Linked DNA regions of Anolis sagrei. The protein of the gene in region 2 purifies or fractionates together with the protein of the main gene of each other region. This does not show direct contact. Links are inferred from orthologs where the notes say so. Each region holds a gene or a part of one and is shown on either strand. Other genes may lie near its edges.

The links.
Region 1: the proteins of ARID4A (region 2) and SAP30 purify together in Homo sapiens (affinity purification with mass spectrometry; 5 studies listed by BioGRID and IntAct, with this or other methods). This does not show direct contact. The link is inferred for Anolis sagrei from reciprocal best matches to the Homo sapiens genes ARID4A and SAP30.
Region 3: the proteins of ARID4A (region 2) and BRMS1 purify together in Homo sapiens (affinity purification with western blotting; 3 studies listed by BioGRID and IntAct, with this or other methods). This does not show direct contact. The link is inferred for Anolis sagrei from reciprocal best matches to the Homo sapiens genes ARID4A and BRMS1.

The regions. Positions count from the first base shown.
Region 1 is NC_090025.1:60,583,962-60,595,010, forward strand, and holds the start of SAP30 (histone deacetylase complex subunit SAP30), read left to right. Parts: upstream 1-6,001; 5' UTR 6,002-6,229; coding exon 6,230-6,640; intron 6,641-11,049. UniProt on the Homo sapiens protein: Involved in the functional recruitment of the Sin3-histone deacetylase complex (HDAC) to a specific subset of N-CoR corepressor complexes. Capable of transcription repression by N-CoR.
Region 2 is NC_090021.1:334,653,323-334,664,438, reverse strand, and holds the start of ARID4A (AT-rich interactive domain-containing protein 4A), read left to right. Parts: upstream 1-6,077; 5' UTR 6,078-6,202; intron 6,203-10,261; 5' UTR 10,262-10,324; coding exon 10,325-10,330; intron 10,331-11,116.
Region 3 is NC_090032.1:9,014,269-9,025,003, forward strand, and holds the start of BRMS1 (breast cancer metastasis-suppressor 1), read left to right. Parts: upstream 1-5,713; 5' UTR 5,714-5,870; intron 5,871-9,685; exon of another isoform or gene 9,686-9,708; 5' UTR 9,709-9,714; coding exon 9,715-9,841; intron 9,842-9,977; coding exon 9,978-10,068; intron 10,069-10,735. UniProt on the Homo sapiens protein: Transcriptional repressor. Down-regulates transcription activation by NF-kappa-B by promoting the deacetylation of RELA at 'Lys-310'. Promotes HDAC1 binding to promoter regions.

The DNA.
Region 1 (11,049 bases), on a different chromosome or scaffold from region 2:
CTTTACCACAAAAACCTGAGAAAACGTATAAGCCAAGGGTAGAAAATGCAACAGCTACTGGTAAATTTCAAAATAAAAATAGATACCAATAAAATTACATTTATTGAGGCATCAGTAGGTTAAATGTTTCTGAATATTTGCATAAAACTATAATTTAAGATAAGACTGTCCAGCTCTGATGATGATGATGATAATAATAATAATAAACCATTATTCTAACCTCCTTCAATGTAAATGTGCTAAAGTATCCTTCCAATATTAATAGAGTAAAATAATGTAATAAAATAATTGAAATATAATAACAGTAATAACAGAGTAAATTAATTAATGTAATAATGACAACAATAATAAATAGAGTAAAATAATAAATGCAATAATAAGAGTAAATTAATGTAAATGTAATAATAATAATAATAATAATAATAATAATAATAATAGAGTAAAATAATAAATAACTTTGACTTGAGTACAAGCTGAGGAGGGCTTTTTCAACTTAAAAAAGGGCTGAAAAACTAGGTTTATATTCGAGTATATACAGTATACTTTAGTTAGGAATTGTATTAGAAAATAGGATTAAAACAGTGCTGCCTATGCTATCAGGTGTAGGAAACCAGCAATTTCCTCTCAATTTGGCTACAGTTCTTCCCCCCCCCCCCCCTGTAAATTCCTAAGTATTAGCAGCTGGTGGATAATGAACTACACTGGTTAAATGATCATTACTTGCATAAAGCATCCCAAGGCCCAGCAGCCTTTATTACACAGCCAGAAAGATTGTTACCAGAGAAGGTAGCAACTCTGTTCAAGCCTGAGAATATCACAAGAAGATGTAACTAACTATAATGACCATAATTTGTTGTTGCACCCCCCTTCTCTTTTTTTGTTCTGTAACATTTGTGAAGTCCAGAAGTTACAATAAAATTGTAACTTTTTTGCCAGGGCTTTCTCCTCTCTCTACGCATATCCTTCAAATTACAATAAATGTTCATTTGTAAAAATAAAATATATTTAATTATGCATATATATATATTGAAATCTAACACAAGTCTATGGTTTGCATCGTTGTTTTAGTGGGCTAAACTTGCCATAAGTAAGTTGAGTAAGAGACATCTGCAACTTTTTGAATCAGACAAGAGGTAACTAAGGATAAGCCTACAGTTCCAGTAATAACGTTAAAAGTAAAACATGAAAAATTGTATGCAAAAATATTTAAAAGCAAGTTATTTAAAATATGTTACCCGTATTTTGTATATTTGGTATGATAAATACAGTCAACCTTCCATATCCACGGGTTCCGCGTTAATGCATTCAACTAACCGTGGCTCCAAAATACTCAGACCTTCATTCTGATTTATGCTTCCATTTAAATAGCCTCTTCAGTCATATAGCTGTAATATTTTTAAAAGAAAAAAAAGGCTCTAATATTAGAAATGCAAAAACTGTTATCTTACAGCAAACCATTGAGAACTCAGGGCCCTCCCACAGAGCCATATAACTCAGAATATCTGTTTTGAACTGGAATGTCTGAGTCCACGCTGTCATATATCCCAATTCAAAGCAGATAATGTGGGATTTTATTCAGCTGTGTGGAAGGAACCCAGATCATCTGGATTTTATATGGCAGCTTGAAATGGGGATTTTAGAGCCCTTCCGCACAGCCATATAACCCAGAATATCAAGGCAGATAATCCACAATATAGCTGTGTGGAAGGGCCCTCGGGAAGAGTGAGGGCCCCTTGGAGCATTTTATTCACTAGTCAAAAATCCAGGTGCTGAAGGGAAGACCACAAAAAGTACAGTACAATCCCATCTTATGTTTACGAGATACATTCCTAGACTTTATATGGATATTTAAAATCACAGAAAATAACAAATTATTAATTTTTTGTGGAGTGGATGATGAAAGTACTGAAATCATGTAGTTTATACAGGTGATCTGAACTTAGTAAGTGAAATTGTGGATGAGTGTAATAGTGTATATGGTTCTGAGGATACAAAACGTTGTCCTGTATCTATATACAATAGCAATCTCTTCCCTTTTCCGCTCCACAGCAAAAGAAGCCCACTTACTCAATACTGGAGGTAGACTACTACCCGATTGGGGCACTAAGTTTAAGATAACATTGTATTGTCTTAGAGGTTGTGTAAACACACTCCCTAATGCAGCTAATAATTTTCTAAGGACCCTTCCACACAGTCATATATCCTCGAATATCAAAGCAGATAATCCACAATTTCTGCTTTGAACTGGATTATCTGAGTCCACACTCAGATAATGTGGGGTTTTCTGCCTTGATATTCTGGGATATAGAGCTGTGTGAAAGGTCCCTCTGCCCACTTGCAGCTTTCACTTTTGACTTGGGGCCCTTCCACACAGCCATATAACCCAGAATAGAAAAGAAGATAATCCACAATATCTGTTTTGAACTGGATTATCTGAGTCCACAATGCCATATAATCCAGTTTAATGTGGATTTTAGCTGTGTGGAAGGAGCCTTGATCAATGAGGAGCAAATCAGTTGTTGCGCAGTAGGTGAACTCAATGCCTATCCAACAATCTAGTTGCCTGATAGGAAATTTCCACAACTGTGGTGTAACTGTTCTGATATGTTTTTTTCTGCTTTTGTAAAACCATACAGAATCTAGGCTGGGAGATATAATTATATAACTATCCTTTTTTGTTTGTCTTCCAGCCATTTCCAACTTACAGGGATCTTATCACAGAGTTTTCTTGGTAAGATTTGTTAAGAAATAATTTTCCTTATGTCTTCCTCTGTGGCAGAGGGACTATGGTTAGCTCAAGGTCATCCTGTTGGGTTCCTGTGGCTGATCGGGTATTCAGCCATGATCATAGTTGTAATCCAATGTCCAAACCACAACACCATGCAGCTCTCACTAGTATTGACCTAGGACCCTTCCACACAGCCCTATATCCCAGAATATCAAGACAGAAAATTCCACAATATCTGCTTTGAACTGGAATATATGACAGTGTGGACTCAGATAACCCAGTTCAAAGCAGATATTGTGGGATTTTCTGGCTTGATATTCTGGGATATAGGGCTGTGTGGAAGGGGCCTATGTTGCAGGAACAGCTCCTTTTGTCTCTATGGAATCTTCTGTTATTGAAATTTGTGAACCAGCTGTTTCCCTTCTGCAGGACTATCCATTTTCCGGAGCTGGTAATTACAGTTGGCCCATGGTATCCACTGGGGTTTGGTTCCAAGTAACACACACACGCCACGGATATCAAAATATGTGGGTGCTCAAATCCCATTATCTAAAATGACATGGTAAAATGACATTAATTTAATAAAATGGCAAATAACTCAAACAAGTGTTGAGGATCTGTGAAATGACAGGAGGTTACAAGAGAATATGCCTATACATTACCATGGTGCTTCGCATGTGGCAAAATCAAAATGTTGATTATTGGATTTCCCTCCCTGAATATGTTATAATTGAATCTGTTAGTGCAGAATTTCTGAATACAGTGGGACAACTGCGTGTCCACCTCCATCATGTGCTTTCCTAAGCTAAACAGCTTTGCAATGTTGTAAGCAAACGTTTAATTTCCTTGCACCACAGAAGGAAGAGGATTGTCTTGAGCAATACAAAAATACACTAACAATAGCTGATGAGAAAAAAAGCTCTGTGCATAATTTTTAGTGATATCTGCCACCACAGGTAAGAAAACATTTAAAAGGGTCTTTTAAATTTGTCAAGTAGGTCTTCCTGCCAAATTGCTTATGATTGTACAGGCAGTCCCTGAGTTACAAACATCTAACTTACAAAGAACGGGGATGAGACAACAGGAAATGAGAAAATCTACCCTCAGGAAGAAATAGCCACCCCTGAGTTATCATGGGAGGAAAGGGTCTCTACTGAAGCTTTATCACCAATCCCTGTGAGCCTCCAGTGGCGCAGTGGATTAAACCCCTGTGCTGGCAGGACTAAAGACCGACAGGTTGCAGGTTCAAATCCGGGGAGAGACGGATGAGCTCCTTCTATCAGCTCCAGCTCCTCATTTGGGGACATGAGAGAAGCCTCCCACAAGGATGATAAAAACATCAAATCATCCGGGTATCCCCTGGGCAAAGTCCTTGCAGAAGGCCAATTCTCTCACACCAGAAGCGACTTGCAGTTTCTCAAGTCGCTCCTGACACGACAAAAAAATAAATAAATCCCTGTTTCCACAACAAGCCTGTTGGAAATAGTAACCTTCTCAAGCCTCCACTAGTTACGTGTTATATATATAGCTAGCTGTCCCGTGTCATGCTTTGCTGTGGCCCAGTCTGTGTATATGTGTTTTGTGTGTGTATATATGTGTATATATGTGTGTGTGTTTGCATATATACACACACACACGTGTGCACGTGTGTACATATATGTGTGTGTGTATATATGTACATATGTGTATTTTTGTGTGTTTATATGTGTGTATGCATGTGTATATGTGTGTGCATGCGTATATGTGTGTATGTATGCGTGCATGTGTTTATGTATATGCACCTTCCTCTTGGCACGTTTCTCTCTTTTACCCTCCATTTGTGCCTCTTCAAATTCTGCAGCACTGCTGGTCACAGCTGACCTCCAGCTGGAGTGCTCAAGGGCCAGGGCTTCCCAGTTCCCAGAGTCTATGACAGAGTTTTTAAAGTTGGCTTTGAGCCATCTTTAAATCTCTTTTTAAAGGGGCAATGCCAGCTAGCTTGTAGAGTTTATCAACAGGTGTAGGTTTAAGACAGGGGTCCTCAAACTAAGGCCCGGATATAGCTCTCCAAGGTCATTTACCCGGCCCTCGTTCAGGGTCAACCTAAGTCTGAAACAACTTGAAAGCACACAACAACAACAATCCTATCTCATCAGCCAAAAGCAGGCCCACACTTCCCATTGAAATACTAATAAGTTTATATTTGTTAAAATTGTTCTTCATTTTAATTATTGTATTGTTTTAAGTGATTTTTGCACAACAAATAAGATATGTGCAGTGTGCATAGGAATTAATTCATTTTTTTTTTCAAATGATAATCCGGCCCTCCAACAGTTTGCGGGACTGTGACCTGGCCCTCTGTTTAAAAAGTTTGTTGACCCCTGGTTTAAGACATCCTGTGATTATTCTGCAAGTTTCATTCAATGCTATGTTCACCTGCTTTGCATGGGCAGACCTATGCCAAACAGGGCAGGCATACTCAGCAGTTGAGTAAGACAAGGCCAGGGCTGATGTTCTTATTAATTTTGGGTCTGCACCCCATGTGCTGCCAGTAAGTTTCCACAGGATGTTATTGCATTCAGCTGGAGGTCAGCCGTGACCAGCAGTGCTGCAGAATTTGAAGAGGCACGAATGGAGGGTGAAAGAGAGAAACGTGCCAGGAGGAAGGCCGTTGAGCCAACCCCGGCCGAGACCGCCTTCCACCTGGAAACCAACGCCTTCACTGTGGGAGAAGATGCAGGTCAAGAATAGGGCTCCACAGTCACCTATGGACCCACAAGAATACTGATCCTGGGAGACTATCCTTCTCGTCTAAGTAAGTAAGCTGGGGAGGGGGGGGGCACGCCAAGAGGAGTGGTGGTTCTCATAAAGGAGTTGGCTAGGCTTTGCATTGCAATGGGAGAGAGCAGTCTTTTCCAACTTCCCGCTTTCAAAGCCTCCCCCCCTTTCCAAAAAAAAACCGGTCGCATGAGAGGAAGAGAAGGAGGGGGAGGGTCTGAAGCTCAGACGTCACGAGGCATTTACTTAAATGGCATCCGAGCGAAGGTTTCAAAAACCGGTGAGGAGAAAAAAAGGGAAGCGGGTCACGTGTCCTTCGCAAGCCTTGCCTGCCTGCCTGCGCGCGCGCAAACAAGCCCGCTTTGTAAATACACCACCACACTGAGGCGGCGGAGGAGTTCCTTTTTTTTCTACATCTCGCAAAGCGTTGCATTCTGGGATTGGTAGTCCTGAAAGGCGTCTAATCCCTTCTGCAAAAACAGAGACAGGAACTACGTTTCCCATGAGCGCATAGCGAGAATTCGAAAGGGGAGGGGGGAAAGAAAGAGGAGAGAGAGGAAAACAGAGCCAGCTCTACCGGGGTTTAGTGTTGTTGCTGCTGCAATGGGGAGAGGAGTGCTGGAAAGTGCCGCGCGGTGCCCCAAGGGGTGATTGATATCCCTCCGACGAAGCCGGGAAAGGGAATGCGGTGGGTCTCGCCTTGAGCAAGCAAGCAGCACCAACACACGCCTTCCCCCGTATTGAATGACTTTACTGTCGAAACACAGCGCGGAGATGAATGGCTTCGGGCCCGACGACGTGGCCCGAGGAGGAGGAGGAGGAGGGCCAGGAGAAGCCCCGCTCCCCGCCTTGGTTGCCAATGCCGGGGAAGCCCTTCCTCTGCCGCCGCCACCTCCTCCTCCTCCGTTGCCCCTTCCTCCACCTCCTCCTCCGCCCGGGCTGGGCATGGCCTCCTCCTCGGTGGCCTCCTCTTCCTCCTCTCCGTCTGCTTCTTCGGGGGCGGCTCCGGCTGGCTCGGGCCCCGGGGCGGGCCAAGTGTGCTGCCTGAGGGAGGAAGGCGAGCGGTGCGGGCGGGCGGCGGGCAACGCCAGCTTCAGCAAGCGCATCCAGAAGAGCATCTCCCAGAAGAAGGTCAAGATCGAGCTGGACAAGAGCGTGAGTCTTGGCTTTCATGGCTGGAATCACTGGGTTTTTCGGTTGTTCTAGAAGCATGCTCTCCTGACGTTTCGCCTGAGGCTGAGGCTTGAGGCTTGCCATAGATGTAGGCGAAACGTCAGGAGAGCATGCTTCTAGAACATGGTCAGGAAAAGAGAGTTATTGTGCCTGCCTGCCCTCCTTTGCAGACTTTGCTTTGATCTCCTCCCACCCACTTTTGACTTGTTCCCCTTGAAGTTTGCTTTTTCCCCCAACTCTTTCGACTTGGATTGGTCATTTTTGCAGCCTGCTTTGCCTTATATGCTGCTTAGACTTTGTCTTGTTTGTCTTCCACTTTGCATTGTTTTCTCCACTTTGCATTGTTTTTTTCTCCACTTTGCATTGTTTTTTTCTCCACTTTGCATTGTTTTTCTCCTTGCTTTTGCGTTTACTGCACGGCCTTCTTTCTATTTTTGGGCAGTTTGCACTGCCTCCCCCCCCCCCCCTACTGTTATATTCCTGACAGGCCCTATTATCCCAGGATCTGATCCCAAGTTTCCAGATTTTCTGCTTTAAACTGGATTATATGTGTCCGCACTGCATGATAATTGGTGGCACTCTGAGTGTACAGTGTATCTGGCAGCGCCCACTCATATAATCCACTTTAAAGCAAAAATACTTGTGATCAGTTCCTAAGATAAAGGGCCTGTCTGGAAGGGCCTTGAGTCTGTATCTACGCCGCCCTATATCCCAGGATCTGATCCCAAATTTTCTGTTTATCCTGGCTTATCTGGCAGTGTGAACTCATATAATCCAGTTTAAAGCAGAAAACCTGAGACCAGATCCTGGGATAAAGGGCTGGCCTAGAAGGGCCCTAAGGCTGAATCTACACTTCCCCATATCCCAGGGTCTGATCCCAGGTTTACTGTTTATCCCAGATTATCTGGCAGTGTGGACTCATAGTCCAGTTTAAAGCAGAAAACCTGGGGTCAGATTCTGAGAGGTAGGCCTGTCTGGAAGGGCCCTCAGGTCCCGCTTCTACACTGCCACATACAATCCAGATTATCCTAACTGGATTATATGTCTCTACACTGCCATATGATCCAGTTCAAAGCACAGCATCTGGATTTTATGTGTCTGCTCTTGAAATTTTCATTGCATTTTCTTTGCACTTCTTATTGCCTTTCACTGCTTACTTTAATCCCATCTGCACTGGCCAATAACTGTTGGAAACTGCATAGACAATGAGAGATCATTACTGGGCCTCTGGTTGAGAACTATCTCACACCTTGGCTTTGTTGGTCCGTGTTGGCCCAATTACCACCACTGGCCATACAACCAGTCTTGTTAAGTTGCAATGTTGTTTTTGTGTTGTGGGTTTCTCTGAGGTTGTAATGCTGGGACTTGCTTGTTTTATGAATGTATGTTGGAATCCGCCTGAGCGGACGGAATATAAATAAAGTTTTATTATTTTCTTATTTATACCAGGCATGGGCAAACTTTGGCCCTCCAGGTGTTTGGACTCCAACTCCCACAATTCCTAACAGCCAGTAGGCTGTTAGGAATTGTGGGAGTTGGAGTCCAAACACCTGGATGGCCAAAGTTTGCCCATGCCTGGTATACAGTCATTATTTGAGTCTACACTCACTCAATGCAATTTCCAACTATATTATTTGGCACTATGGAGGGGGCCATTGTCTTGTTCTTTGTGCAGTTTCGCAGTCTTCCTCCCATCGCCTTGTTTCTCCTTGAAGTTTGCCTTGCCTCATTCTCCTTGCCTTTGCGGCTCTTTTCTCCTTGCAAAAAACAAGTGTGCAAAGCCATCCGCCTGTTCCCTTTCTCTCTCTGTCTCTCACTTCCCGCCCTCCTCCTTCATGTCTCAGGACGGCAAAGAAGTGCAGACAGGAAGGCAACAAAAGCCATCCCGCCACAATGGAGGAAGGAGAGAGACAGAGAGAGATTCCCCTTTCCAAGGGGGGTCCTTTCTCCAGATCTGAGGTGTTTCGATCCCAATCCCGATGACTTTTTGTTGTCCCATTTCCCTCCACAGTCTCCTTCCACTTCATTCCTTGAGAGGGAAACAGAGATGCAGCAAAGGAATGAGGAGTTTGGCAGATAGGATCCCCCAAAGCTTGGGGCAAATCTCATTCCGCATCCGGCTGTTTATGTCTGACGCGGCAAAAACCTGCTCTTTGTCATCTTCTCTCCCTCCTTGATGGCATTGCTACTTTGATGTTATTTTGCTTTTTTCTTGCTCTCATAGGCTGCCTCTACCTTTCATAATTGAAACACCCTAATGCCTTAATATAATGGAGTTGTAATTTTGCAAGGTCTGCAGCCTTCTCTCGCCGTACATTCCACAAAGTGATGTTAAAACTACATTCATTCCTCACTGTGTTATTTTGTCTGAAGACCAAAGCATCTCAACCTCTCCTTTCTCTTTGCAGACAGTGTTATACATACAACACATACACACACACATATATATGGCTTTCATGGCGTGCTTCTGTTTTCCTGCTCCGCCTCGTGCTGCTGCTGCAGTGTTTGCACGTCCGTCCCACCCGCATCGTCTCTTCTCTCTCCCCTTTTGGCAGCCATCAAGCCCTTCTTCCAGCACTTCATTTAAGCCCCGCCACTAAAAGCCAGGTCTCCCCGCCTTCCACTGGTGGTTTTGCTCCTTTTAAGACATATATAAAGCAGAGAAACACTCCTAAATGCAACAGACACGTTCCCAGAGTCAGGGCACGTGAACCTGCGGAGTACCCGCCTGCTTGGCTTATGCTTATGCATGGCCTTTATGCGGAAGGAAAGGCTGGTGTTTGAATACTTTGTGCTTGCAAAGCCAGAACAAAACAAGTCTTGTGGTTGCCTGGCTTTGGAAGCACATTTGGAGAGGTTTGGGGATCATTGGCACACAAATCATGCCGCATTTGCATACAGTGGGATTAGGTTCATTAGGCTGTGTCTATACTGTTTGTTTGTTTTTTCTTGTGTAAGGAGTGACTTGAGAAACTGCAAGTCGCTTCTGGTGTGAAATAATTGGCTGTTGACATTGCCCAGGGGACACCAGGATGTTTTATCATCCTTGTGGGAGGATTCTCCCATTTCCCTGCATGGGGAGCTAGAGCTGACAGAGGGAGCTCATCTATGCTCTTCCTGGATCCGACCTGTCGATCTTCAGTCCTGCTGGCACAAGAGTTTAACTCATTGCACCACTGGGGGCTCTGATGTCTATACTGTTGATTTGATGCAGTTTGACACTGCTGTAACTCCCTTATGGAATCCTGGGAACTTGTAGTTTGTTGTGGCACCAGCACTCTTTGGCAGAGAAGGCTAGAGTACCTTGTAAAACTACAACTCCAGGGATTCTGTAGCCTTGAACCTTGGCCATTCAAGTGGTGTCAGTCTCAGATCTTCATTGAAGATAGTGGTTTTGCTGTACAGAAATCCTGGAACCAGTTTGTGGCCTGGATGGTGATAACACAAACCACAGAGCACATTAAGGGCTTTCTTTTACATGCTTTTGTGGAAGTTTGTTGTCTGGCCACAGCAGCTTGAAGCTGGCATCAAACTGTGTTAAAGGGTCAGTATAGATGGGGCCTTGGCGTGCATTTATATTGTAGAGCAGTGGTACTCAACCTTCCTAATGCCACGTCCCCTTAATACAGGTCTTCATGTTGTGATCCCCAACCATAAAATTATTTTTGTTGCTACTTCATAACTAATTTTACTAATGTTATGAATCGTAATGTAAATCTCTGATACACAGGATGTGTTTTCATTCAGTGGACCAAATTCAGCACAATACCCGATACACCCAAATTTGAATACTGGTGGGGTTGGGTGGGGGGAGTTGATTTTGTCATTTGGGAGTTTAATTGCTGGGATTTATAGTTCGCCTACAATCAAAGAGCATTCTGAACTCTACCAGCGATTGAATTGAACCAAACTTAGCACACAGAACTTCCCATGATCAACAGAAAATACTAGAAGTGTTTGGTAGGCATTGACTTTGACTTTTGGATTTGTAGTTTATGTACATCCAGAGAGCACTGTGGACTCGAACAATGATGGATCTGGACCAAACTTGGCACGAATACTCAATAAGCCCAAATGTGGACACTGTTGGAGTTTGGGGGAAAATAGACCTTGCCATTTGGGAGTTGTAGTTGCTGAGAATTATAGGTCACCTACAATCAAAGAACCCTTTGAACCCCACCAATGATAGAATTGGGCCAAATTTCCCACACAGAACCCCCATAACCAATAGAAAATACAGGAGGGATTTGGAACGAGTTGACAATATTTAGGGGAGATGTAGTTCACCTACCTCCAGAGAACAGTAGTAAGGCTTCTTTTGGGAGGATTTGCAGTTTGTTTCCAAAAAGGAAGAGAAGGACAGGCAAGAGATCTTCAGCCTTCTCTGCTAA
Region 2 (11,116 bases):
TTCTCTGGGTGGTTTTAAGCAGAGGCTGCATGGTCATCAGTCAGGAGGACCGATTGTGTGTTTCTGCATGGCAGGATTAGACTGGACAGCTCTTGTAACCTCTTCCAAGTCTGATTCTGATCACTTAGATGGGTGTAGATCAGGCCTCCAGGTGTTTGGGCCTCTAACTCCCAGAAGCTCTAGCCAGCTGTTTCAATGTCCAGGAATTCTGGGAGCAGAAGTCCAAAACACCTGGAGGACGGCAGGTCGCGCAAACCTGGTGTAGACACAGCTGAATCAGCTCCACAACAGTCAATCCACACAGCCTGCCCCACATTACCAAAGCTGGCGGAAAGTATAAATTTGGGCACAGAATTCTTAAGTGGACATTCCGGATGCAGAACTCGCTTGCAGAAGCTCTGGACCTTTACCAAAAGGATTGCCAACAAATAAATCCCTGATATTTTATGGAACAACAACTACATAGGGTGACTCTAAGCAGACATTGGCAAATTTTGGCCCTCCAGGTGCTTTGGACTTCAACTCCCGCAATTACTAATAGTCAGCTGCTGGGATTTGAAATCCAAAACATCTGGAGGGCAGAAGTTCACCCATGACCGCCCAAAGGTCACCATAAGTCAAAAACGACTTAAAAGCACACAGCAGCAACAAGGCACTTACATCTTGGATCATATTGTCTTCCCTGTATGGGATTTAGTTGTAATAAATTCCTACTTATTGATTCTAGTTGATGGAGCTTCACAGGAGTTTTTGACATATCTCTAAAAACTTCCAGTAATTACCAACAGTAAAAGTATAACTATAAGAACATGTACATACTTGGGAGTTAACTTGATAGGCATAGTGATTCCCCCTTTTTGCTGATAGTTATTCCTCATTTGTAGGATTTATCAGTTATGGAAAGGAATTAAATACTGGCGTTCCCATCCAGTAGTGTGTTTGCATTTCGCAACATGTTGAATTTGAAAGGCTTCTGGAAAATCCTAGAAGTTCTACATCCAGAGGTCAGTAGGAACAATATTGTGAATGCTTTACTGAAGGTAAAACAGAAGGGCTTACCCCTTAGTACTATTGTGGAAATGGCATCATTAATTCTGAGTAACAAGTTTACATCAAAATTTGAGGACAACCGAGACAACAACCTGAGAAACAAATAGCTGTGGCTGAAAGAAGATGATGTCTTTGCAAGCGTGAAGAGAAAACACACTTTAAGCTGAAGAGTTGTGCTAATCCACAGGTCTTTTAGAACATACTAGCCGTCCCTGCCACGCGTTGCTGTGGACCAGTCTGTGTATATGGGCTTTGTGTGTGTGCATACAGTATTTGTGAATATATGTGTGTTTGGTCTATCTATATAAATAAAAATGTAATATTCATTTGTGGGATTAACATAACTCAAAAACCACTGGACAAATTTGGACACAATACACCTATCAGGCCAACAAGTGACCGTCACTCATAAAAACACTGAAAAACACAGCAGAAGAGACTTAAAAAGCAAAAATATATATATACAGTACAACGCATGCACAAAACTACGTGCGCTGTACTGTATATATGTGGTTTTGTGCATGCGTTTTACTATTTATTTATTTTTTTGGCTTTTTAAGTAAATTAGGGAAAATGTATACAAAATATTTTATAGAAGTTATACAACACCAGTTATTGCAAAAATAGACAAATCAGGTGAGAAGGATTTTGGTGTAAAGTAACTAAGGAATCAAAACGTTATGCAATAAGGTAAAAAAATCAGGAATGTCTTTGCTGGGATTATTTAGGGAAGACTTCCATCAGAATGATAAAGAAATAGCCTAATACAGTTTTGCAGCAGCAAGAATGATAATTGCTAGGAATCAGAAAGGGGAAAAAGTGTTAACTAAGAAAGATTGGAAAGACAAACTAATGGATTACAAGCAAATGACCAAGATATCGGCTGCCCCAGGGCTGTGGAATGACCTGTGGTAGAACTCTTGATAGCTAAGACAGACACAAGCAAAGACCTGTCTCTTCTGGGAGGCCTACCCAGACAGTCTTTAAACATGAATTTGAATGCTTGTCCTTTGTTCAATCTGTATTTTGTCTGTTTTAATGTGTATTTCATAGAGATACTTTATGGAGCTACATTTTAGTGTGGGTATTAGTAGTGTTTTTGCTGTGATTATACATTTTAATTGTTTTGTAGCCCACCTTGAGCCATAAGGAGAGGTGAGTAATAAATAAAATTATTATTAACTTGGTGAGCAAAATCAAGAGTTCCTAAAGAGATGGAAATGGGCAATGGCATATCTGGAAGGAGAGTCAAAGAAGTGAACGATAAATAGTCCCAGGAGGAATGTATGGGCAAACATGACAGAAGGGTAAATAAATCATGTTATGGGCACCACAATGATGAGGGATGGAAGTCAAGATGCAGGGTGTATGAGGTAAGGGTTGACTTTAGTGTAGGATGTGGGCAAGAGGGATGTCTTACACGGTGTAGTGCAGGCGTCATGTGTGCTATGTCTACTTGGGATGCCCTTGAAAAGTGCCTAGAAACTCATACTAGTTCAGAGACCTGCAGCAAGGTTATTGACAGGTGCTGGACCCAGGGAGCGTAGCACCTGTTACAGCACCTGTGCTGGCTGCCAATATGTCTCTGTTGTTGAAGGCTTTCATGGCCAGAATCACTGGGTTGCTGTGAGTTTTCCGAGCTGTATGGCCATGTTCCAGAAGAATTCTCTCCTACCGTTTTACCCACATCTATGGCAGGCATCCTCAGAGGCTGTGAGGTCTGTTGGCAACTGGGCAAGTGGTGTTTATATATCTGTGGAATATTCAGGGTGGGAGAAAGAACTTGTGCCTGCTTGAGGTTTGTGGGAATGTTGCAATTGGACACCTTGATTAGCACTGAATAGCCTTGCAGCTTCAAAGCTTGACCGGTTACTGCCTGAGGGGGTGTTAGCCGGCCCTGATCGATTCTTCTCTGGAATTCTCCGTCTGAGTGTGGCTCTTTATTTACTGTCCTGATTTTAGAGTTTTTAATACTGGTAGCCAAATTTTGTTCATTTTCATTGTTTCCTCCTTTCTGTTGAAACTGTCCACATGCTTGTTGATTTGAGTAGCTTCTCTGTGCTGTCTGACATGGTAATTGTTACAGTGGTTCAGCATTTCTGTATTCTCAAATAATATGAAGTCCAGGTGGTATACGGTAAGCTCCTGCAGAGGTGAGAGGATCCCTCTTGTCCTTTGCTGAATGTAGCATTTGTTGGATTTTCTTAGTGGGTCTGTAGATAGTTGGTAGGTTGTGTTTCTTCATCAGCTTCCCGATGTGGTCAAGTGGTTCCTTGATGTATGGTAAGAACACTTTTATTAGAAGCTGCAAAGCCATACAGTGCTAATTCAGGTGGCCAATTGCAACATTCACACCTAGCTCCAGCAGACAAAAGTCCTTTCTCCCACCCTGGACATTCCACAGATATATAAATCCCATTTGCCTAATTTCTAACAGACCTCACAACCTCTGAGGATGCCTGCCATAGATGTGGACGAAACGTCAGGAGAGAATGTTTTTCGAACATGGTTGTACCGTGCAGAAAACTCAAAGCAACCCACCTTGTATCCTGCATTTATTTATTTATTTTATTTATTTAGCAGTCCCTCCCCAAATGATCTTAACGTCCTAACTGGTTCATAGGAGGAGACATGTTCGGACAGGTAGGTCGGGCCAGAACCGTTTAGGGCTTTAAAGGCTAAAGCCAGCACTTTGAATTAAAATAATTAAATATATTTTAAAAATAAATAAACCCAGATACTGATGTGTGCCCATGAAGGGAAGAATCAATTCAGAAACAAGATATTCCTTCTCAGAAATTAATTCTGAGGCAATTCATTCATTTATTTCCTCCAGGAAATAAAGCCCAACTGCTCATTGGAGGGAAGGATACTAGAGACAAAGTTGAAGAGGAGACAGCAAAGCCTGGAGAAGACAATGATGCTGGGGAAAGTGGAAGGTAAAAGGAAAAGGGGCCGACCAAGGGCAAGATGGATGGATGGCATCCTTGAAGTGACTGGACTGACCTTGAAGGAGCTGGGGGTGGTGACGGCCGACAGGGAGCTCTGGTGTGGGCTGGTCCATGAGGTCACGAAGAGTCGGAGACGACTGAACAAATGAACAACAACAATGTAATGCAATATAATACTACTAATAATATGATAATATAATAATACATTTATATTACATGTATTATTGATAATACATGTAATATGTTATGGTAGTGGGGTACAAATAAAGTTTATTATTATTATTAAGGGCGGCATATAAATGTTGTAATTAAATAAATAATAGGTTGTATTGAATTATTTATTTATTTATTTGCTTTATTTGTATACCGCTCTTCTCAGCCCTTAGGCGACTCAGAGCGGTTTACAACAGTTTAGATATACAGAATTCAAAATCATTACGCATTTAAAAACAATTACTAGTATTATATTGCATTACATTACAATATTATGTATATACAATATATTATATTATAACATATTATTAGAATAGCACAGGAGACAAGGTGGAACTGTCCCCTGGCCCCTCTTTCTTTGCTCTGGCCCAGAGCGGCAGTTCGTGCTGGGGGGAGGGGTCCCCAACGGATGGCAAATGCAGGAGACAAGATGGTGCTGTCCCCTGGCCTCCCCTCTCTTCACTCTGGCCCAGAGTGACAGTTGAATAATATGCATCTTCTGTAAATTAAACAATGTATAACAAATGTATTGAACTATGATAAAATAATTAAAAATATTTTAAAAAGTAAATAAACCCAGATGCTGACGTGTGTTCATGAAGGGAAGAATCAATACAGAACCAAGATATTCCTTCTCAGAAATTCAATCTGAGGTAATTCATTCATTTCATGTGTTGTATTTTTAATAAGGAAGTAAATAATGGGTTGTATTGAATAATATGTATCTGCTGTGAAATAAACAATGTATAACAAATGTACTGAACTATGATAAAATAATAATAAATATAAATATTTTAAAAATAAACAAACCCAGACGCTGATGTGTGCCCATGAAGGGATCAATCCAGAAACAAGATATTCCTTCTCAGAAATTAATTCTTAGGTTATTCATTCATTTCATGTGTTGTTTTTTTTTAAGAAGGAAGTAAACGACCCACAAGACAAGCGTCTTTCCCTTTTTGGGAGAAAGCGGAAGTGACAGGGAAGCTCCTCCCTACAATGGCGGCTCTAACGTCACACCCACTTCCGGTTGTTTGCACCGCCCCTTCCGGTAACGGTCGTCGAGGTCCCCTCCCCCTCCTGCTTCCCTCACAAAACAACAAAACCGCAATCAAAAACGAATCCCTACACTTAGGAATCGCCTCCCCGGCGGGTATAAAAGGAAAGCGCAATTACCTGAGGCCAGACCGCGCCGCCCGTGACTGAGGAGCGGCCTTTTCCGCCCGCGACTGAGGAGACCACAAAATGGCGGCCGAGGGAGGCCGCAATCCCCACCACAGGCCGCTCTAAAGTCGGCGCTTGCGCAGTCGGCGCCGGGCGAATTCTTCCTTCGCCACCACAAACAAACCTCCAGTCAGCCCCGCCCCCTTTTCCTCCCCAGCCAATCGCCTCACGCCATCGTTCTCAGCTCCTGCCCAATCGCGTCGCGGGAAGAAAGAGGCGGGGCCTTCTCTGTGTGGAATCTTTGACTTCACTCCCTTTTAAAGCCTTCGCGATTGGAGGGAGGCGGGCTTTGTAGCGCTGGGCCAATCCAAGAAGGGAGGGGGAATATAATCCACCAATGGGAGAGGAGGAGGGAGACGGGCCAATAAGACTTATAGAAACGGGAGCGATAGAACCGAGGAGGCCCAATCGCCTCCTCGATAGCCGGAGCCAATGAGAAGCGAGGGAGAATAGGGGAGGAGAAGCCAATAGGGGAGGAGAAGCCAGCGCGAGCGCGTCACGTGCCGTCGGCGGGCCAATGAGAGGCCGCGCTGCTCCTCACGTTGTTATTGAGGGGGAAGTCGGTGAGTCAGTCAGTCAGAGCGAGAGAAGGGAAGGAGGAAGGAAGGCAGGAAGGAGGGAGGAGGGCGGGCTGCGGGGGAAGGGGGCGGGCGGGGAGGCGGAGCCGCGCGGAACAGCCCCCGCCGCTTCTTCTCCTGCCTCTGTCGTCGTCGCCCTTCGTTGGGGAAGAAGGAGGAAGGAAGAGTGGCCCACCGGGGACCGGGGTGAGTTTTGCGGCCTACCTCTGAGGGAAACGGGACCGGGCCCGAAGCCAGGAGAGAAGGCGGGGAAAAACTCCCAAATCCCCTCACGAAGCGTGGAAGTGGGGCCTTTCCTTATTTCCTCGCCTGAACCGCATCCACACCGTGGGATTGATTCGCTTTTAGCCCTCATAACCTTCTCTGACTTAACATCTCAATTATCTCTGTGTTCTCAAGGTGTCGTCGTCCCAAGTTGTGTGCGACTTATCCTGAGTTGAGACTTCGAGGAGACAATCGGACCCCTTCGCCTCTACACTCAGGAATTAACGCAGTTTGACACCGCTTCGGTCGCCATGGCTACGGAACGCCGAGGCTCCAACGTGATTCCATAGCATTGAGTCAAAGTGATGTCAAACTGCATTAAGGCTGTATTGAGCCGACTGGGGACCTCTGGGTGCTTTGGACTCCAACTCCCACAATTCCTAACATCCTATTAGATGTATTAAGCCGACTCGGGCCCTCTGGGGATTTTGGACTCCAACTCCCACAATTCCTAACAGCCGGTAGGCTGTTAGGGATTGTGGGAGTTGGAGTCCAAAACACCCAGAGGGCCCGAGTCGGCTGGCTGTTAGGAATGTTTTGGATTCCAACTCCCACAATTCCTAACAGCCTATCGACTGTATTAAGCCGACCCGGGCCCTCTGGGTGTTTTGGATTCCAAATCCCACAATTCCTAACATCCTATTGGATGTATTAAGCCGACTTGGGCCCTCTGGGGGTTTTGGACTCCAACTCCCACAATTCCTAACAGCCGGTAGGAATTGTGGGAGTTGGAGTCCAGAACACCCAGAGGGCCCGAGTCGGCTTAATACAGCCGATAGGCTGTTAGGAATTGTGGGAGTTGGAGTCCAAAACACCCAGAGGGCCCGAGTCGGCTTAATACAGGCGACAGACTGTTAGGAATTGTGGGAGTTGGAGTCCAAAACACCCAGAGGGCCCGAGTCGGCTTAATACATCCAGTCCAAAACACCCAGAGAGCCTGAGTTGGTTTAATACATCCAATAGGATGTTAGGAATTGTGGGAGTTGGAGTCCAAAACTGAGTTAAGACTTCGAGGAGAGAATCAAAGCCCTTCGCCTCTATACTCGGGAGTTAACGCTGTTTGACACCGCTTCAGTCGCCATGGCTACGGAACGCTAGTGCTCCAACGTGATTCCATAGCATTGAGTCAAAGTGATGTCAAACAGCATTAATTCCAATTCTGGGCACCACAATTGAACCCGGAATGTGTCCAGAGGAGGGTGACTAAAAGGATCAAGGGTCTGGAGAACAAGCCCTATGAGGAGCAGCTTAAGGAGCTGGGCATGTTTACCTTGAAGAAGAGAAGGCTGAGAGGAGATATGATAGCCATGTATAAATATGTGAGAGGAAGCCACAGGGAGGAGGGAGCAAGCTTGTTTTCTGCTTCCTTGCAAACTAGGACACGGAACAATGGCTTCAAACTTCAAGAAAGGAGATTCCATCTGAACATGAGGAAGAACTTCCTGACTGTGAGAGCCGTTCAGCAGTGGAACTCTCTGCCCCGGAGTGTGGTGGAGGCTCCTTCTTTGGAGGTTTTTAAACAGAGACTGGATGGCCATCTTTCAGGGGTGCTTCAAATGCAATATTCCTGCTTCTTGGCAGGGGGTTGGACTGGATGGCCCATGAGGTCTCTTCCAACTCTAGGATTCTATGATTCTAAGGCTCTGTTAAGCCAACTCGGGTTCTCTGGGTGATTTGAACTCCAACTCCCACAATTCCTAACAGCCGATAGGCTGTTAGGAATTGTGGGAGTTGAAGTCCAAAACACCCAGAGGGCCCGAGTTGGCCCGTGTCTGCCTTTATGACATTGGAGAATTGGGACAAAACTAACAACACTGAATTTCAACAGGGAAAGATATACTGTATTATTTATTTACGACATTTATATGCCGCCCTTCTCACCCTGAAGGGGACTCAGAGCGGCTTACAAGTCATATGTACATACAGCATATGATATCATTAGCATAGTACTAATACACCATTCATAATAATAGTATTATATAATATTTTATAGTTGCTATATTACATTTTGGCAATAAAAATGGAAGGTACGGATAATGATGGGAAAACCTGGCTTGAAAACAATCTATGTGAAAAGGATCTGGGTGTCTTGCTATGCCACAAACTTGAGCATGAGTCAACAGTGTGATGCAGCAGCTAAAAAGGCCAATGCGATTTTAGGCAGCATCAGAACTCACCTGGAATACTGTGTCTAGTTTCGGGCATTATATTTCCAACTGAGGTCTGACCAAAACAGAACAGAGGAGGAATACTCGCCTTGAATACTGTGTCTAGTTCTGGGGATTGTATTCCTAGTGAGACCTGACCAAAACAGAACACAGAGGGATACTCACCTGGAATTCTGTGTCTAGTTCTGGGCATTACATTCCAAGTGAGGTCTGACCAAAACAGAACTAAGTAGGAATATTCACCTGTAATTCTGTATCTAGTTCTGGGCATTATATTCCAAGTGAGGTCTGACCAAAACAGAACAAATCTCTAGGTTCTCTAGCATAGGTAGTGGAAGCTGGCATGGGCCAGCTTGGGCCCTCCAGATCTTTGTACTCCAACTCCCACAATTCTTAACAGCCGGTAGTTGGCCCATGCCTGATCTAGATGGGCTCCACTTCAGGTCAACTCCCAGAATTCTATAGCTTTGAACCATGCCAGTTAAAAGCGGTGTCAAACTGCATTCATTCATCAGTATAAATGCATTCATGAGGCAGGCAGGACTTTAGAGTGCTTTGCTGTCGACACACACTTCAACCCACCAGACTCTTTTCTTTGGGGATAATATTTCCCAAATGGACCACTTTTCTCTCCTCGCTACTCTGTCACCTCATATATGTTTTTCTCCAAGGTAGCTCCATGTATAGAGTAGTATTACTGGACTGGAGGAGGCATCCTTATGAGGGGCGAAAAGGAACCTCCAGGGCGAGGATTTCTGTTTCTCAAAAAGTCACGTGAAACTTGTTTTTGCTTGTCGAGGGGCGAGGGAAGCAAGCACAAGCATATGGGGAAGTGGATTAGAAAGGAAAGGGGCAGGTTTTGTCAAGAGGAACGTGTAGGGGTTGGAGGTGGGCTGTGAACTGAAGGGCCCACTGGTATGCACTCTGGTAAGGAAGGGAATCAGAGGACTGCACATCTCTGAGTTCTCATTGTAAGTACTTTTGCCTGCACATGTATACAGTTGAGTAAATAGTGATAGAGGGTGTGTCCACATGCAACTGACCTGTTAGTCTTCACTTTACAAATCAGCTTCCTTACCCAGAGAGCATGTTTGGCCTGGCATTTGTGATATTTGATAGGGAGGCTGAAGGTGCTGGCTGTAATTTTGTTTCAGTTCCACGATCACATCTCTCCCTTTTACCTTAGAACATTGACAGGAATCATGCTGTCTCCAGATAGCAATGTAGGCATGGGCAAACTTCAGCCCTCCAGGTATTTTGGACTTCAACAGTCGGTTGTTAGGAATACTGTGAGTTAAATTCCACAACACCTGGAGGACCAAAGTTTGCCCGTGTCTGCAGTAATGGATGGCAATCCCAGCAGCATTGGACAGTATAGCCAGTGGTGAAGTATGAGTACTGTACTCCAGCACTGCATGATTCCCACCCTGCTCTGAAATGCCTGTCTTCTGCATGCATGTAGTGTTTCTCTTTTACTTGACAGGTTGCAAAGAGGGAGAGGGCCGTGGCAGTGATTGACACTGAGGGATGCAAAGTTGAATACGAGAGAGAGAGAAGATGATGGCTTCAGCTGCTTTTTATCCAGAGCTTGCAAAAGCCCAGTTTAGCCATTCTGGAGCTTTCCTTTAACCTTTCAATAACATGTTAGTCCTGGAGTGGGTGTTTCAGAGATGCACAGGGTGTGTGTTGTGTACACTATAGAGAGGAGTGTGTTTAATAATCAGCCAGAGATTTTGTGAGTGAATTCTCCTCACAAGTGCCGTATCACCTTTCCTGTAAGAATCTACTCATATATTTTTCCTTTGACTTCTAGATTTTTCTTCAATAGTGAAAAGAGAAGTTTTCTGAGCTGGAATCCCTCAAATAACTTTCCAGGATGAAGGTAAATGCATGCAACTTAGGAATGTACGAACACATTTTCTTCCCATCTTTTCATGAGCCAGCTCATGTGCATTTTTTGTGCTTAGTTTTCTTGAAAAGTTAAGAATCCAACACCTTATTGAAGGTTTGTGGTTAAATATGCTCCACCTGTCACTTTCTCAACATTTTTGCCACTTTCTGATCTGCTTCAAAAGTTTCCAAATCGAATGAGCAATCAAATGCCTATACTGACAAGAAGGCCTATTATATCTGTCTAACATGACTGTGGCTCTCCAGGGTCTCAAATAGAGATCTCTACCATTATTTGCTGCCTGGTGTTGAGAATTGAACTTGGGCCTTCTGCAAGCAAACAATATGATCAGTAACAGAGCTGTAGGTTCTCTCTATTACATATGGATGTGGAAATCTGCACATAGAGGAAAACATCTTAGCCTTTTGTTGGTGATGTGCTTGACTGAAGACATCAAAACTTGTGAAAAGTTTTGTTCTCTTGACTTCTTTTCCAACTTTTTAAAACCCTATGGTTGTATTAAAAAATTGCAGTCTGTAAACGAAGTAAGATAAAATAGAATTACTCTAGCTCTATAAAGTAGATCTTCCACCCAATGTTTTGAGACTGCAGCTTCCATAAACTGCAGCAGTCTGTTATCTTCCCTCACTCCCAGTGTAAACAGTTTACTAATAGAAGTGGGTGAGGCTGGAGAGGATTTGTAAAGACAAATTGTTCTTTTTATATGTTGGTATTTTGATGAATAGTTATTTTTATATTGCAGTATGATGCTCTGTA
Region 3 (10,735 bases), on a different chromosome or scaffold from region 2:
GGTCCATGACTATCCTTAGGAAATGAAAAATGAAAATGAAAAACGAAATGCAAAGATACAGAATGGGGGACAATAATGCCTGGCTCGAGAGCAGTACGTGTGAAAAAAGACCTTGGAGTCCTCGTGGACAACAAGTTAAACATGAGCCAACAATGTGATGTGGCGGCAAAAAAAGCCAATGGGATTCTGGCCTGCATCAATAGGAGCCTAATGTCTAGATCTAGGGAAGTCATGCTACCCCTCTATTCTGCTTTGGTTAAACCACATCTGGAATATTGTGTCCAATTCTGGGCACCACAATTGAAGAGAGATATTGACAAGCTGGAATGTGTCCAGAGGAGGGCGACTAAAATGATCAAGGATCTGGAGAAAAAGCCCTATGAGGAGCGGCTTAAAGAGCTGGACATGTTTAGCCTGAAGAAGAGATGGCTGAGAGGAGACATGATAGCCATATATAAATATGTAAGAGGAAGTCACAGGGAGGAGGGAGCAAGCTTGTTTTCTGCTTCCCTGGAGACTAGGACACAGAACAATAGCTTCAAACTACAAGAAAGGAGATTCCATCTGAACATGAGGAAGAACTTCCTGACTGTGAGAGCTGTTCAGCAGTGGAACTCTCTGCCCTGGAGTGTGGTGGAGGCTCCTTCTTTGGAAGCTTTTAAACAGAGGTTGGATGGCCATCTGTCAGGGGTGATTTGAATGCAATATTCCTGCTTCTTGGCAGAATGGGGTTGGACTGGATGGCCCATGAGGTCTCTTCCAACTCTAGGATTCTATGATTCTATGCAGGTAGTCTTTGTTGAAAACCTATATCAATGGGGATTTGCCTTAGGAAATGAACTTCCCAAGGCTGGTGTCTCGCTGGGGTCACGAAAGGGTGGCTTCCCATATTTCATATACAGACACATACATAAGGGAGATACATAAGGGATAATGAAGCATAAAGGAATTTCATAATACACCATCCCACCCACCAGAGTCCAAAAGAATAAGTTCATAAGCACAAAATAATATCATCCCTTAATCATGAAAGGAAGTCCACGGGGCTTGGAGGGAAGTTCCAGAAAGTTTTCAAAAGTTCTTGGAAGTTTGGGAAAGTTGATCAAAGTTGTAAAATCCAGAAAAGGCAAGTGGGGAAAGGTGTCCCTGTGTCCACAGAGTCCTTATGAGCTGACTGCCAACGTTGAAGATCGAGATCCGCGGAGAGAACCACAGATCCCTCCATACCAAGGACCAGGGCAGCCCGCCGACATCTTGGGGATCCTATGGGTTGACCGTGACAGTTTCCCAGGAACAGCAGGATCCTTGGACATCCACAAAATGGTGGCAACGAGGCAACATCTTTGGAAAAACAGCTGGGCTCCAGGATGTGGTTTTGGGGACAAAAAGGTTATTCCCGGGGTGGAGGGTGCAGCGGAGCGAAACCAAGATAGCCATTAGTCTTGGAATTCTCCCAGGAAAAGAATGACACCATTTGACTCGCGGATACGGGGGCCCGAGGGGTTTCCATATCCGCGGTTTAAAGGAATGCAGTTTCGGCCTCCCGGGGACGCGAAAATCGCATCCTAGGAGGGCCGGCAGTCATCTGCATCTGGAGAAGAAAGTTTTATGGAAAGAGAGGTTTCTCTTTAATAAGGACTGAGTGGGATAGATATAATGATGATAATGTTGTTGTTCATTCGTTCAGTCGTCTCCGACTCTTCGTGACCTCATAGACCAGCCTACGCCAGAGCTCCCTGTCGGCCGTTACCACCCCCAGCTCCCTCAAGGTCAGTCCAGTCACTTCAAGGATGCCATCCATCCATCTTGCCCTTGGTCGGCCCCTCTTCCTTTTGCCTTCCACTTTCCCCAGCATAATTGTCTTCTCTAGGCTTTCCTGTCTCCTCATGATGTGGCCAAAGTACTTCAACTTTGTCTCTAGTATCTTTCCCTCCAGTGAGCAGTTGGGCTTTATTTCCTGGAGGATGGACTGGTTGGATCTTCTCGCAGTCCAAGGCACTCTCAGCACTTTCCTCCAACACCACAGCTCAAAAGCATCGATCTTCCTTCGCTCAGCCTTCCCTAAGGTCCAGCTCTCACATCCGTAGGTGACGACAGGGAAGACCATGGCTTTGACTAGGCAATGGATCTTGGTTGCCAGTCTGATGTCTCTACTCTTCACTATTTTATCGAGACTGGACATTGCTCTCCTCCCAAGAAGTAAGCGTCTTCTGATTTCCTGGCCACAGTCTGCATCTGCAGTAATCTTTGCACCTAGAAATACAAAGTCTGTCACGGCCTCCACGGTTTCTCCCTCTATTTTCCAGTTGTCAATAATTCTTGTTGCCATAATCTTGGTTTTTTTGACGTTTAGCTGCAACCCGGCTTTTGCGCTTTCTTCTTTCACCTTGATTAGAAGGCTCCTCAGCTCCTCCTCGCTTTCGGCCATCAGAGTGGTGTCATCTGCATATCTGAGGTTGTTAATGTTTCTTCCAGCAATTTTCACCCCAGCTTTGCATTCATCCAGCCCCGCACATCCTCGCATGATGTGTTCTGCATACAAGTTAAAAAGGTTGGGTGAGAGGATGCAGCCTTGCCGGACGCCTTTCCCAATCTTGAACCAGTCTGTTGTTCCGTGGTCAGTTCTGACTGTTGCTACTTGGTCCTTGTACAGATTCCTCAGGAGAGAGGGAAGGGGGCTTGGGATGCCCATCCCACCAAGAACTTGCCACAATTTATTATGATCCACACAGTCAAAGGCTTTAGAATAGTCAATGAAGCAGAAGTAGATGTTTTTCTGAAACTCCCTGCCTTGATGATAATAACAACTGATAATAACAATAAGTTACCAAGTTTGGTCCAGAGACACCAAGCCCTATAGATACAAACCAACCAACCAACATATATACAGACTTTTATAGAGAGAGATCATGCAGGGAAACAGTACAAAATTATTCTTCAGGAAAGCAGAAGGGTATGACTACAACACTTTCTTTTTTTTCTGGAAGACTTTTTAAAAAGAAAATTTTTAAGACTGAGACAGAAGGGGGTGATTATTTATTTTAACATCTTATGGGCAAAGCCTCCAAAAAAAATATTCCTAGAGCATACCTGGCACCGTTCTAGCCTATAGGCTCCCTCGAGTGGCTGCATCTGAACATTGCAGCGTAAATCTCCCATTTTCTGGGGTGTTGTGTGGTTTTCGGGCTGTATGGTCATGTTCTAGCAGCATTTTCTCCTGGTGTTTCGCCTACATCTGAGGCGGGCACCTTCAGGTGATCCGATCTATATAAATAAAAATGTAATGTACGTTTGTGAGATTAACATAACTCCAAAACCACTGGACGAATTGACACCAAATTTGGACACAAGACACCTAACAACCCAATGTATGTCCTTCACATGTACATTTAATGAAGCTTTTATGCCCTATGTTTCATATATAGCAGAAGGTAACAGGTTTATTACTGAGAAACCACCTCCCGTTACACTTATGTACTCTCTTGAACTTCTATGGGACTCTATATTGACAAGCTGGAATGTGTCCAGAGGAGGGCGACTAAAATGATCAAGGCTCTGGAGAACAAGCCCTATGAGGAGCAGCTTAAGGAGCTGGGCATGTTTAGCCTGAAGAAGAGAAGGCTGAGAGGGGATATGATAGCCATGTATAAATATGTGAGAGGAAGTCACAGGGAGGAGGGAGCAAGCTTGTTTTCTGCTTCCTTGGAGACTAGGACACGGAACAATGGCTTCAAACTACATCTGAACATGAGGAAGAATTTCCTGACTGTAAGAGCCGTTCAGCAGTGGAACTCTCTGCCCCGGAGTGTGGTGGAGGCTCCTTCTTTGGAAGCTTTTAAACAGAGGCTGGATGGCCATCTGTCAGGGGTGATTTGAATGCAATATTCCTGCATCTTGGCAGAATGGGGTTGGACTGGATGGCCCAGGAGGTCTCTTCCAACTCTTTGATTCTATGATTCTATGATTCTGGTGGGAGGGATAAGTGGGTATGTTTTCTGTATGATGATTTCTATATTTCTATATTTCTCCCTGTGTACCTTACCTTTTCCTGACCCTTTTGCCCAATTCCCCTTTATCGAAAAAATGTATAAAAATATAAGAAGCAACCCTGTGACCCTGGAAAGGAGGAAATCCTCAGTTGAAAAAGAACCTTATCAAAAGACATTTCTTACATGGAAAATAACAATGAATCGTGACCCCTGGGCCACGTAGTTGCCCCCCCCCCCCCCAAGGGAGGCGGTCGCTTGACATTAATGATCCTATCTCAATAGGACAAAGGAAGCCTTTGGAAAGCCACCCTTTGTCCTGATCTGTTACTCATTTAAATCTCCTTCCATTGAAATTTCAGCCAAAATTCCCTCATTGTTTCTATATCTCAGCACCCAGAAAATCCAAATCTGGCAGGCTTGCCAGACATTGACATTTATTACAGCCAATCAAAGACAATAGGAAAGGCTGGCTCGCAGGCCCCCAGGACTCGCTGGCTGCTTGGACATTTCCTATCTTCAATAATAATAATAATAATAATAATAATAATAATAATATTACAATATTGCTTTCTCTCTTTTCAGAGAGAAAAAGCAAGATATAAATAAATATAATATAATAAATATAATATTTGTTTTAATAAGAATAATATAATGCGCATACGATACTTATGTATGTTAATATTATCTCAGGGCATTATTTCATATTATGTTATTATTATTTGAAATAACATAATATAATATATTATTATAATAAATAACAATACAAAAATATATTATCATAGAATCATATATTATATTTATTATATTATTATTTATTATACTACATTATATTACATTATTTCAAATAATAATAACATAATCTGATATTATAATATTATATCAAAATATTATAATAATATAATATTATATTATTATAATAAATAATATAAAATATATTATCATAGAATCATATATTTATTATATTATTATTTATTATACTACACTATAATATATTATATATTATGCTACATTATACTATATTAAAATTACTTCAAATAATAATAAAATAATCTGATATTATAATATTATATCATAATACTATAATAACATAATATAATATATTATTATAATAAATAACAATACAAAAATATATTATCATAGAATCATATATTATATTTATTATATTATTATTTATTATACTACATTATATTATGTTATTTCAAATAATAACATAATCCGAAATAATGCACTGAGATATTAACACACATAACTTTCGTATGTGCATTATATTATTAATAAGTCATTATTAATAATATATTATTAAATTATTATTATTAAAACAAATATTTATTTATATTTATATTTATAATAAATAAAAATATAATAATTGTATTATTATACTATATTATTATTCATAGAATCATAGATCAAAGAGTTGGATATATTGTTATATTGTATTATTCTAATAATAATATAATAAATATATTATTCTAATAATAATATAATAAATATATTATTTTATTTTATATTTTATATTTTATATTTTTTGTATTTTATTTTATATTTTATATTTTTGTATTATATTTTATATTTTATTTTATTTTATTTTATTTTATTTTATTTTATTTTATTTTTTGTCCCAGAAAAAAACTGGCTGGGCCTGTTTTGTTTCCTTTCTGCTTCGTTGCTATGGAAACTGTCCGCCTTCCGCTTCCGCCTGCCCACAATTCTACGCGAAGGACCCCAGAGTTGTGAGCGAAGTGCAGTGGATGGCGTTATCGTTTCGCAAGGCAAAGTCCGCTGTGATTGGCTAGCGCCGGTGGGCGGAGCCAAGCGGAGCCGACTTCCGATTGCTGCGGGAGCCCTGAGCGGCGTTTGCGTCCTCCTCGGCTCCTCCCCCAGGTAATAAGGGGTCCCGGCTATTTTCCCCATCACCCCCCTTTTTATCGGTGAAGTTGGTATCGTCCATTCCAGCCTTATCCATTTCCCAATGAGAAAGCCAAGGGCCAGTCCATTACAACTCGGACAAAGGGGGGTTTATATATGTGTATGGCTATAATACTACTACACTCTTCCCCCTTTGAAATGTTTAATGGTTTGTTCCTCCAGGACAATCCTAGGAGAAGTTGGACGAGTCCATTGAAATCAGGGGGAGGATACTGATTATTTTGAATGGTGGGCAATGCAGGACCTTCCAGATCTTCAGGACTTCTGTTCTTATCACTTTTTGCTAAGGCTCACTCTTTGTTATGGTTGATGGGAGATGTAGTTCAGTGGCATCTGGGAGGCCAGTTTAAACCTCTCCAAGTTAAGGGAGAATACATATTTCAGTTCCTATTCAGGTATATAAATGCAGTATTTCTTTGGGAGCTCAAATAGGCTAGTTGAGAAACTACAAGTCGCTTCTGGTGTGAGAGAATTGGCCATCTGCAAGGACGTTGCCCAGGGGACACCCAGAAGATTTGATCATCCTTGTGGGAGGCTTCTCTCATGTCCCCGCATGAGGAGCTGGAGCTGATAGAGGGAGCTCATCCGCCTCTCCCTGGATTCGATCCTGCGACCTGTCAGTCTTCAATCCTGCCGGCACAGGGGTTTAACCCAATAAACAATGATGATAATGGTTTACAATATGTAAAATAATCCTGCAAGTCATTAAAAGTTGGAGATGAATAATTTAAATATCTTTAAATATGTTTAAAATAATTTAAATATATATATATAGAGAGAGAGAGAATATCTATATCAGTTTGACTTCTCATATTATTTCAACGTATGCAGAATAAATCCTGCAGGTCATTAAAAAAGCTGGAAATGAGTATTATTATTATTAATAATAACAGCAAATCATGCGATGTGCGGGGCTTGATGAATGCAAAGCTGGGGTGAAAATTGCTGGAGGAAACATTAACAACCTCAGATATGCAGATGACACCACTCTGATGGCCGAAAGCGAGGAGGAGCTGAGGAGCCTTCTAATCAAGGTGAAAGAAGAAAGCGCAAAAGCTGGGTTGCAGCTAAACATCAAAAAAACCAAGATTATGGCAACAAGAGTGATTGACAACTGGGAAATAGAGGGAGAAATCGTGGAGGCCATGACAGACTTTGTATTTCTAGGCGCAAAGATGACTGCAGATGCAGACTGTGGCCAGGAAATCAGGAGACGCTTCCTTCTTGGGAGGAGAGCAATGTCCAGTCTCGACAAAATAGTCAAGAGTAGAGACATCAGACTGGCAACCAAGATCCATTGCCTAGTCAAAGCCATGGTCTTCCCTGTAGTCACCTACGGATGTGAGAGCTGGACCTTAGGGAAGGCTGAGCGAAGGAAGATCGATGCTTTTGAGCTGTGGTGTTGGAGGAAAGTGCTGAGAGTGCCTTGGACTGCGAGAAGATCCAACCAGTCCATCCTCCAGGAAATAAAGCCCGGCTGCTCATTGGAAGGAAGGAGACTAGAGACAAAGTTGAAGTCCTTTGGCCACATCATGAGAAGACAGCAAAGCCTAGAGAAGACAATGATACTGGGGAAAGTGGAAGGCAAAAGGAAGAGGGGCCGACCAAGGGCAAGATGGGTGGATGGCATCCTTGAAGCGACTGGACTGACCTTGAAGGAGCTGGGGGTGGTGACGGCCGACAGGGAGCTCTGGCGTGGACTGGTCCATGAGGTCATGAAGAGTCGGAGACGACTGAACGAATGAACAACAACAACAGCAAATCAATATTAATATTATATTTATATTATTAAAATAATATGCAATGCCACTCTTTAATAACTTTTAAGAATAATAATGATTTACAAATAAAATGTATTATGTTTTTAAAATATTTAAAACATAATAACAATAATAATAATAATAATAATAATAATAACTAGCCTGAAAAAGTTACACATCAAGCTACTCTAAGACTTCTGGATTCAGACAGACAGAGTTTTGGAGCACAATACTCCTGACCTCACGATTATGGGAAAAAACAGTATAGATCGATGTTGCAATCCCAGGCGACAGCAGGATAATAATAATAATAATAATAATAATAATAATAATAATAATAATAATAATGCTTTATTTATACCCCGCCACCATCTCCCCCAACGGGGACTCGGAGCGGCTTACATGGGGCCAAGCCCGAACAACAAATTACAATACAAAAATACAAATTGCATTAAAATAAACAACATAACAATAAAATATAAAACATCAAAGCATATAGATAGTATACACAGAAATAGAAACCAAACATAATGACTAAGAGAGGATTGATGAGAAGCAACTGGAAAAGCTGACACGATACAAGGATTTAAAGATCGAGCTGCAAAGACTCTGGCACAAGCCAGACAAGGTGGTCCCAGTGGTGATCGGCACACTGGGTGCAGTGCCTAAAGACCTTGGCCTGCACTTAAAAACAATTGGCGCTGACAAAATTGCCACCTGCCAGCTGCAAAAGGCCACCCTACTGGGATCTGCATGCATTATTTGCCGATACATCACACAGTCCTAGACACTTGGGAAATGTCCGACGTGTGATCCAATACAACAGTCAGCAGTGTGGTCTTGTTTGCTGTGTACTAATCTTGTTGTGTATCAAATAATAATAATAATAATAATATTGACAAAATCACTGTCAACTGCAAAAGGCGACCTTACTTGGATCTGTGCGCATCATTCGAAAATATATCATACAGTCCTAGACGCTTGGGAAGTGTTCGACTTGTGATTTTGTGATACGAAATCCAGCATAGAGATCTCATTTGCTGTGACATACTGTGCTTTTGTGTCGATAAAGTAATAATCATTTCTCTGCATGGCGGAATAGGGCTGGACTGGATGGCCCCTTGAGGTCTCTTCCAATTTTGGAGTCTATGATATAAATTATTATTATTATTATTATTATTATTATTCATCTGCACATCAGAGTAGGGCTGGATTGGATGGCCCCTTGTCTCTTCCAATTTTGGAGTCTATGATATAAATTATTATTATTATTATTATTATTATTATTATTATTAATCTACACAGCAGAATAGGGCTGGATTGGATGGCCCCTTGAGATCTCTTCCAATTTTGGAGTCTATGATATAAATACTAATAATAATAATAATAATAATAATAATGATAATAATTCATGTGCACAGCAGAATAGGGCCCTTTGAGGTCTCTTCCAATTTTGGAGTTTATGATACAAATAATAATAATAATAATAATAATAATAATAATTCATGTTCACAGCAGAATAGGGCTGGACTGGATGGCCCGTTGAGGTCTCTTCCAATATTGGAGTCTATGATATAAATACTAATACTAATTATTATTATTATTATTATTATTATTATTCATGTTCACAGCAGAATAGGGCTGGACTGGATGGCCCGTTGAGGTCTCTTCCAATATTGGAATCTATGATATAAATAATAACAATAATAATAATAATTCATCTGCACAGGAGAATAGGGCTGGACTGAATGGCCCTTTGAGGTCTCTTTCAATATTGGGAGTCTATGATATGAATACTAATAATAATAATAATAATAATAATTTCTCTGCACAGCAGAATAGGGTTGGATTGCATGCCCACTAAGGGTCCCTTCCAAGTTTAGGCTTCCAAGATCCAATATAGGCTGGATGGCCATCTGTCGGGAGGGCTTTGATTGTACCCTGATGCAGTTTGACTTTTGATAAATTGTAAATTTAATAAAAAAAATTTGGCCTTTTGTATTCCTCAAGCTGGTGTTGGCATCTCTCTCTAGAAGACCATGCCTGTGCAACCCTTGCCGAAGGAGATGGAGGTGGAAGGAGATTCGGCCGCAGAGATGAATGGAGAGGAAGAGAGCGAGGCTGACCACAGCGCTAGCCAGTCGGAGTCGGAAGAGGAGAGCTCAGGTCAGTCAGTGCCTGGGGTAGAAATATCACACATTTCGCCTTTCGGAGCGGTGGGTTCAAAGACCATTACCGTATACTTTGGGCTTCCTCCATGGCACACTCTGCCCATTGACTTGCATTGCTTTGCCCTTTGCAGAGATGGATGAGGAAGACTGCGAGCGGCGGCGCTTGGAGTGCCTCGAAGAAATGCTGGACCTGGAGAAGCAGTTTTCGCAGCTCAAAGAAGTGTAAGTTGCCAGCCACTTCACCCCCTTTGTTTTGACCCTCCCTTTCTCTCCCCATGGCATTATTACAATACATATCTCGCGCTCCCACCTTTTGGGGAAGATTGGTGGGGACGAGGGAAAGGGCCTTCTCGGTGGTGGCCCCCCGACTCTGGAACTCACTTCCCAAGGACATCAGGCATGCCTCAACTCTGGCAGCCTTTAGGAGGAGCCTGAAAACGTGGTTGTTCCAGTGTGACTTCCCAGAATAAGGAAAACTCTCAGCAGTATGCCCTCAAAATGCACTTTATTATGGATTTAGGACTGACTGTGTTCCCTCATCCTTCTTTGAAAAACTCTATCCCAGTTATATCCTACCTTGTTTGTTTTTTTTTGTTTTTTTGTTTTTTTTTATGTCGTGTTAGGGCAGCCAGTCAATTGTATTACATTTCTAACAGAACAAAACAAACAAACAGACAAAATACAAAATTTGCGAGTTTGGTAGTTGATTAAATGTCCTTTGACCAGTATCTGGCCACTTGGAGTGCCTCTGGTGTTGCCGCAAAAAGGTCCTCCATTGTGCATGTGGCAGGGCTCAGGTTGCATTGCAGCAGGTGGTCAGTGGTTTGCTCTTCTCCACACCCGCATGCCGAGGATTCTACTTTGTAGCCCCATTTCTGAAGGTTGGCTC